2 linked regions of the Xenopus tropicalis genome follow. The protein of the gene in region 2 purifies or fractionates together with the protein of the main gene of each other region. This does not show direct contact. Links are inferred from orthologs where the notes say so. Each region holds a gene or a part of one and is shown on either strand. Other genes may lie near its edges.

Evidence for each region. The genes of interacting proteins can lie anywhere in the genome.
Region 1: the proteins of ppp2cb (region 2) and ppp2r2d purify together in Homo sapiens (affinity purification with mass spectrometry; 6 studies listed by BioGRID and IntAct, counting the BioPlex papers as one, with this or other methods). This does not show direct contact. The link is inferred for Xenopus tropicalis from reciprocal best matches to the Homo sapiens genes PPP2CB and PPP2R2D.

The regions. Positions count from the first base shown.
Region 1 is NC_030683.2:21,335,414-21,339,644, forward strand, and holds the start of ppp2r2d (serine/threonine-protein phosphatase 2A 55 kDa regulatory subunit B delta isoform), read right to left. Parts: upstream 2,802-4,231; 5' UTR 2,574-2,801; coding exon 2,567-2,573; intron 1-2,566. UniProt on the Homo sapiens protein: Substrate-recognition subunit of protein phosphatase 2A (PP2A) that plays a key role in cell cycle by controlling mitosis entry and exit. Involved in chromosome clustering during late mitosis by mediating dephosphorylation of MKI67.
Region 2 is NC_030677.2:97,482,274-97,486,220, forward strand, and holds the start of ppp2cb (serine/threonine-protein phosphatase 2A catalytic subunit beta isoform), read right to left. Parts: upstream 2,801-3,947; 5' UTR 2,594-2,800; coding exon 2,492-2,593; intron 1-2,491.

The DNA.
Region 1 (4,231 bases), on a different chromosome or scaffold from region 2:
GAGTGAGAAATGACCCTTTGCTTCCTACTGCTCCATTCAACCAAAATTGGCATCCCTAGCGGCTAACCTGTGCCCCTAACTAGGCATCCCCAGCGGCTAACCTGTGCCCCTAACTAGGCATCCCCAGCGGCTAACCTGTGCCCCTAACTAGGCATCCCCAGCGGCTAACCTGTGCCCCTAACTAGGCATCCCCAGCGGCTAACCTGTGCCCCTAACTAGGCATCCCCAGGGGCTAACCTGTGCCCCTAACTAGGCATCCCCAGCGGCTAACCTGTGCCCCTAACTAGGCATCCCCAGGGGCTAACCTGTGCCCCTAACTAGGCATCCCCAGCGGCTAACTTGTGCCCCTAACTAGGCATCCCCAGCGGCTAACCTGTGCCCCTAACTAGGCATCCCCAGCGGCTAACCTGTGCCCCTAACAAGGCATCCCCAGGGGCTAACCTGTTCCCCCTAACTAGGCATCCCCAGCGGCTAACCTGTGCCCCTAACTAGGCATCCCCAGCGGCTAACCTGTGCCCCTAACTAGGCATCCCCAGCGGCTAACCTGTGCCCCACCCCCCAGAAGTTGATCTGCTTGATGGCCATGGACCCTGGTAGAGGTAATTGTAATGATTCAGGTGTGTGACAGCTGCCACCCAATGTGCCCCTTTAACCCCTTATCATTACAAAGCACTGTGTAGGGCATAAATGGCTGCAGATTAGGGGGTGTATAGCCTATGGCAGATCCACAGGAACATTATACTGCATGTTAGAAGTATATTATATGCAGCACTCAGGGGACCCCAACTTACTACTTATTAAAAGAAAAAAGTTGTAAAAACCAGGGCCAAAGTAAATAAAAATGAAGGGGTCCTACCACATAACCCAGTGATACCCTTACATAGCTCTAAAAGCTACCCCACTGCCCATTTATATATATATTAGCCCCAGTGATACCCTTACATAGCTCTAACAGTTACCCCACTGCCCATATATATATATATATTAGCCCCAGTGATACCCTTACATAGCTCTAACAGTTACCCCACTGCCCATTTATATATATATATATATATATTAGCCCCAGTGATACCCTTACATAGCTCTAACAGTTACCCCACTGCCCATTTATATATATATATATATATATGAGCCCCAGTGATACCCTTACATAGCTCTAACAGTTACCCCACTGCCCATATATATATATATGAGCCCCAGTGATACCCTTACATAGCTCTAACAGTTACCCCACTGCCCATATATATATATATGAGCCCCAGTGATACCCTTACATAGCTCTAACAGTTGCCCCACTGCCCATTTATATATATATATATATTAGCCCCAGTGATACCCTTACATAGCTCTAACAGTTACCCCACTGCCCATATATATATATATATATATATTAGCCCCAGTGATACATTTACATAGCTCTAACAGTTACCCCACTGCCCATTTATATATATATATGAGCCCCAGTGATACCCTTACATAGCTCTAACAGTTACCCCACTGCCCATTTATATATATATATTAGCCCCAGTGATACCCTTACATAGCTCTAACAGTTACCCCACTGCCCATTTATATATATTAGCCCCAGTGATACCCTTACATAGCTCTAACAGTTACCCCACTGCCCATTTATATATATATTAGCCCCAGTGATACCCTTACATAGCTCTAACAGTTACCCCACTGCCCATTTATATATATATTAGCCCCAGTGATACCCTTACATAGCTCTAACAGTTACCCCACTGCCCATTTATATATATTAGCCCCAGTGATACCCTTACATAGCTCTAACAGTTACCCCACTGCCCATTTATATATATATTAGCCCCAGTGATACCCTTACATAGCTCTAACAGTTACCCCACTGCCCATTTATATATATATTAGCCCCAGTGATACCCTTACATAGCTCTAACAGTTACCCCACTGCCCATTTATATATATATATATATTAGCCCCAGTGATACCCTTACATAGCTCTAACAGTTACCCCACTGCCCATTTATATATATATTAGCCCCAGTGATACCCTTACATAGCTCTAACAGTTACCCCACTGCCCATATATATATATATATATATTAGCCCCAGTGATACCCTTACATAGCTCTAACAGTTACCCCACTGCCCATTTATATATATATTAGCCCCAGTGATACCCTTACATAGCTCTAACAGTTACCCCACTGCCCATTTATATATATATATGAGCCCCAGGAGCCCAGCCCCACACCCCCAGTACATGCCCTGTATACACCATCCCCAATGTAACACAACACGGAGCTGCAAAGCTTTCAGCGCATTATAAGCAATACAGTCCTGCAAAGCATTCTGGGAGCTGCGGTTTCACTACAACTCCCATCATGCCCTGACAGGTAACACACTGTATCAGCAGCCAAGGAAGAAGAGTTAGGCCGTAATGAATTGCAGCAAGAGGGAATGCTGGGAGAGCCATGCTAACCCACGACTCCCAGTATCCCTCCGCCAGCAGCAAGGATGCCCATGGGCCCCGGAGGTGGCCTGCCCAAACTGAGCCCGCCCCTCCTCTCTCAATGGTATTTACCTGCCATGGCTGCCCTCTAGGACCAGGCCTTTCCCGAACCCGGGAGGGGGTTTCCGCCCTTCAGACTCTCGCTGCCCTCCCTCCCCCCGGTGGCGCGGCTGCTCGGATAGGTGCGTGTGGAAGTCCCTGCCTGTGTGGGAGGGAGGGGACTGGGGGAAGGAAGGAAGGAGAGAAACGGGAAGCGCTTCGGGAAAGGGGACGCAGCGCTCAGTAGCCGCCACTCTCGGCTTCTCCGGGACGGGGTTTCAAAATGGCGCCCATGGCCCGTCGACATGATTCGGTGACGTCATTTAACCCTTCTGGCGCCGGGCGCGGCACTGAGGCAAAAGAGTGAGAGTGAGCGATGCGGCCGCCCCTCCCCTCCTGACCGGCACCAATAGTGGGCGTGGTGTTTTTTGCCTGGCTCCATTCGATTGGTCGGCGGAGCCTGAGTGTATATGCATAGGTGTATTTATATATCGGCAGGGATATTTATAGGGACAGTGCTGCTGCGCTGGGCTTGTGCGCAATGGCGGCTCCGGAGGGGGCTGTTAGTGAACGAGGTATTTTTATCAATTGGGAATGAGGGGTAGAGGCACACACAGTGGGACACACCGATGTTTCCATACACACATACGTGCTAATCCTAGGGGCAGGTTTAGTGTAGAGAAGAGGGAGCATTTTCTCTGAGCCACAGTTACATGGTGGGTTATATATATATATCAGGGATGTGCAGCCTGGGGCCCCTTACTCTCATCAGCATCATTTGTTTCTGTGGCATCTAGGCTCAAATGTGAGGGCTAGAAAGAAAGCGAGTACTGAGAGACAGGCACTGAGAGACAGGCAGCAATACAGTGAGACTGGCACTGAGAGACAGGCAGCAATACAGTGAGACTGGCACTGAGAGACAGGCAGCAATACAGTGAGACTGGCACTGAGAGACAGCCAGCAATACAGTGAGACTGGCACTGAGAGACAGGCAGCAATACAGTGAGACTGGCACTGAGAGACAGGCAGCAATACAGTGAGACTGGCACTGAGACACAGGCAGCAATACAGTGAGACTGGCACTGAGAGACAGGCAGCAATACAGTGAGACTGGCACTGAGAGACAGCCAGCAATACAGTGAGACTGGCACTGAGAGACAGGCAGCAATACAGTGAGACTGGCACTGAGAGACAGGCAGCAATACAGTGAGACTGGCACTGAGAGACAGGCAGCAATACAGTGAGACTGGCACTGAGAGACAGCCAGCAATACAGTGAGACTGGCACTGAGAGACAGGCAGCAATACAGTGAGACTGGCACTGAGAGACGGGCAGCAATACAGTGAGACAGGCAGCAATACAGTGAGACTGGCACTGAGAGACAGGCAGCAATACAGTGAGACTGGCACTGAGAGACAGGCAGCAATACAGTGAGACTGGCACTGAGAGACAGGCAGCAATACAGTGAGACTGGCACTGAGACACAGGCAGCAATACAGTGAGACTGGCACTGAGAGACAGGCAGCAATACAGTGAGACTGGCACTGAGAGACAGCCAGCAATACAGTGAGACTGGCACTGAGAGACAGGCAGCAATACAGTGAGACTGGCACTGAGAGACAGGCAGCAATACAGTGAGACTGGCACTGAGAGACAGGCAGCAATACAGTGAGACTGGCACTGAGAGACAGCCAGCAA
Region 2 (3,947 bases):
ACCTCACACTAACCAGTGCATTTTGGATCGCAAATGATCATCCCAGTAGCTTCAGCTTCTATAATAAATGTAATATCACTTTCTGTTCAATAATTTTAATGACATGAAAAATTAGCCTGTGGCGAGTCACTGGCAAGCACAAAGTGGTCTAGTGATCAAAATTTATGAGCTGCTGTGGACAACTTTGAAAGAATGGGTCATTACTATTGTAGGGCTTCTACTGTATGATTGGTTTATAAAATAAAGTATTTCTAGCTGTAATGAGTTAGGGCTTTATTTATTTTCTTCTTTAAAAGGGGGAGTAAAATAAATAAAATATTACCTTCTTCAGCAAAGGAAATTGAGAGTTAACAAACAGAAAAGTTAGGGTGAAATGGATTAAAAGGTGCTCAAAAGTCATGCGCTATTTATTACTAAAGTGAAAGGCCACTGTAAATTTAATTTACAGTGGAGGATGTATGGCTTCTTTTAGCTGACCTTACCCTTCAAAGTTTTACTGTTTGGTTTATTTTACATTTAGCCTAGTTATATATACAGTTAGATATAGTTATTATTGTATGTTGTGAAGTACTATAGTCCTATTTCCTTAGATGGACACACATTTCATTTCCCATTATGTCTGGATGCTTGATTTTATGTTGAACGATGCTGTTAACTGTAGCACAGCACCATTAAAGAACCCAAACTTAAAGGAGTAGTTCATCCTAAAATTAGTTCCACATATGGTATAGATGGTAGCATTCTATAACAATTATTAATCAGCCTTCTTTTTTTTTTCTTGGCAGCTTGGAATTTCAACTGATATGAGGATGGTAGGACTTAATTGGCCTAACAACCAGACACAAAAGAGAAACTCAAAATGAAGATGAACAGTAAAGTGTCCCATTAGAATGATGTGCAATGAAAATAAAAACAGCAACACATCTGAGGACTTACAGTCAGTCAATCAGTTTAATGGTTGTCAGGATCAGGAAACCCTGACAACCAAACAGTATTTTCAGTTGAAGGCTGGGGGAATAAAATAAGGATTCTGATAAATCAAAAGCTATTTAAAAAAAAAAAGATAGGTAAATGAAAATATGCTTAGATTAATGGCACACAACGCGTAAAGAAAAGGCCATAGTCCTATCACCCATAATGTTACTACTGAACATAAAGTGCCATATCAGATGGACATGAAGAGGTAACAGAGACACACTGGCCCAATACACTCAAGCAAAAGCTTTGCGCATAGGTCCACCTGTCACCACAAGTATTCAACAGTATTAAGAGAGGTGACACGTGTTTACTGAAAACAGTCTGGCTACATCATAAGTATCAAGCTCTCAAAGGATTAAAGAAAGGTACTCATCAAAAATTAACTTTATATTTGTACCTTTAGTGCAATGACACATGGAGCTAATTGCACCAGCTACAAAATAGTACTGATAATTGTCTCTACGTGTGTTTTAGCAAAGATGGTTCTCAGTACTGTCTATGGCAAAGTATTTTCTGGGGCTTTGTAGCCGCTACAAGTAGCTCTGTGTGCTGTAGTCCTTAAACAGCATTTAGCTGCAAGAATCACTTAACTGTAGTGATTTTCCCTACAAGGAAACACTTGCATTACAGGTGAAAAGTTTCCTCCAGTTTTTGCAATCCATCTGTTTGTATTTTGTAATCTGCTGTTTGAGAGCAAACAGTTGATTAAATGTTATGGATTTAAAGATGCTTTAGCAAACTTTGTGCCTGTTATTACATCATAAAGTCACATCAATGCACTCTGCCAACCCTATGATTATTAGCAAAGATGATAGGGGTACATTGTTGCCCGTTTAATTTAGAAAATAAATCCCTGAGAAAGGAACACTGGCTGTGTTCAAGGCACCCATCAAATTATAAAATCTCACTCTGAATAGTAATTAGCTACAATACACATATATGTTAAAGGAACATTTTAAGATAATTCCACATGTCAAATTGTATTCTGAAAATAAATGAATACTAATGCCACTATTGTAAGCTCTACGGGGCAGAGACCTCCATCCTTTTGTCTCTTTGACCCTTAACTTATTGCAATTGTATCTTGTATTTATTGTTATACTTTAAACTTATCTATTATTATCTTAATAACCCCCTGTTTGTATTAATGTATTCTACTGTACAGCGCTGCGCACATAAGTAGTGCTTGCTAAATAAAGATATAAATACATACACTAATACATTCAAATAAGCAGGGGGTCTTAGAAACTGGAACCAACAGCTGCCAATCAAAAGGGAACTAAATACAATTTTCAAGATCAGAATCCTACACAGTAAATCCCCTGATGTATGTTTATTTGCTGTGTGGACGTGCCTGTATGAACAAGCGAGGCCCCTTACAGGCGTGTGTATGTTTCTGTGCGTAGCATGTATTCCCCCTACGAGATCATGACGGTATCATGCTGGGAGTGCTATACACCTATGTATGTGGGGCTGAGTGTTTACAGACGTTGCTGCACAGGGCCGGTCTCACCTTCTCGCACAGGGTGCGCACTTGGCTCTCGTTGAGTTGCTTGCAGTCATTGAGCTGCTCGATCCACTGGTCCAGTTCTTTAGTAAACGTCTTGTCCTCCATGCCAGAAACTTCCAGACAACCACACTATTCCACGGTAACACACGCTACAAACATACACGAAATTCCGCACTGTGCCGATCGGTCTGCTACCCCTCCTCTCTGCCCCCTCTCCTGTCACACATTCACTAGCACGGCCTACGCCTCCCACCCCCCAACTTCGTGCGAGGCTACGGCCGGTGATGACCGGACGGAAATATTCACGTATTAATAAGGCTTATGTTAAGGTATTGCCTGTCAAAAGGAGGAGGCCGAAACGCGACTATGTCGTTGTAGCTTTCCTCCTCCTCATTCAATTTCACCCCCGTACTTGCGGGAGCGCGCCGAGAGGGGGTGGAGCTGATAAAACGCACAGAGACAACGAATGGCAGACTGAAATGTACATGCGCGACACAAGGCATAACCTGCACAGCGACAGAGCGTGCCCGCGCCCGTAAACTACAGAAGCGTGCACGGAGACACGCAACGTCAGACTGAGAGGCGGAGGGATGCGCGCATGCGCAAGGAAGCCCCCACCTGCAGAAAAAGTTTTTTTTCGTTTTTTTTTTTTCTCAATGATCTTTATTTGGGTTGTTGTGGGTAGAAACGGGTGGAGTAGAGTATAGTGAAAGTGACAGCGGAAAGGCAGATGTGTTCGTGTTTGACACCCCATTGCTATAAAACTGGAAACGTATAGTTGCGGTACGTGTACATGCAACTTGACATAGATGCATAAATATAGCTCGATTTCCTTATAATATAAAGCTGTCTAATATTATAATGCGTTTTGTAAAGGTGTTTTTCATGGTACCAGGGGTGCAAAATATCTGCCTCTGATAATTTTAGGAGTTGAATAGTTTAGTGTTGGGGGACACATTCGCATAGTGAGCAGCGGTTCTGTGTAAAAGTGGAACTGGGTAAAAGAGACTGCCCAAAATAAAAAATGTTTGCAATATAGTTAGGCAAAATGTAATCTATACATACTGGAGTGGGCAGATGTCTGATATAATGGCCAGAACACAGCTCTTTAAAGGGGAAGGAAAGGCTAAGTCACTTGGGGGTGCTAAAATGTTAGGCACCCCCAAGTGGCTTGAATCGCTTACCTCGTACCCCTGGCTGGTGCCCCTGTTAGGAGAAAACTGCACCAGCCCAGGGCACCTGGGGCAATGCACTTCCCCCTTCCGCCTCCCTTTCCCCTGGACTCAGAGTCCGGCGCTTGCGCAGTAGAGTGAAAAAGCCGACTTCTCTGTTAAAGTTCGGCTTTTCACTCTACTGCGCAGCGAGGGAGGAATCGCTCGCTGCTACCCCGGGCTGGTGCTGTTTTCTCCATACAGGGGCACCAGCCCGGGGTAGAAGGTAAGCGATCTAAGTCACTTGG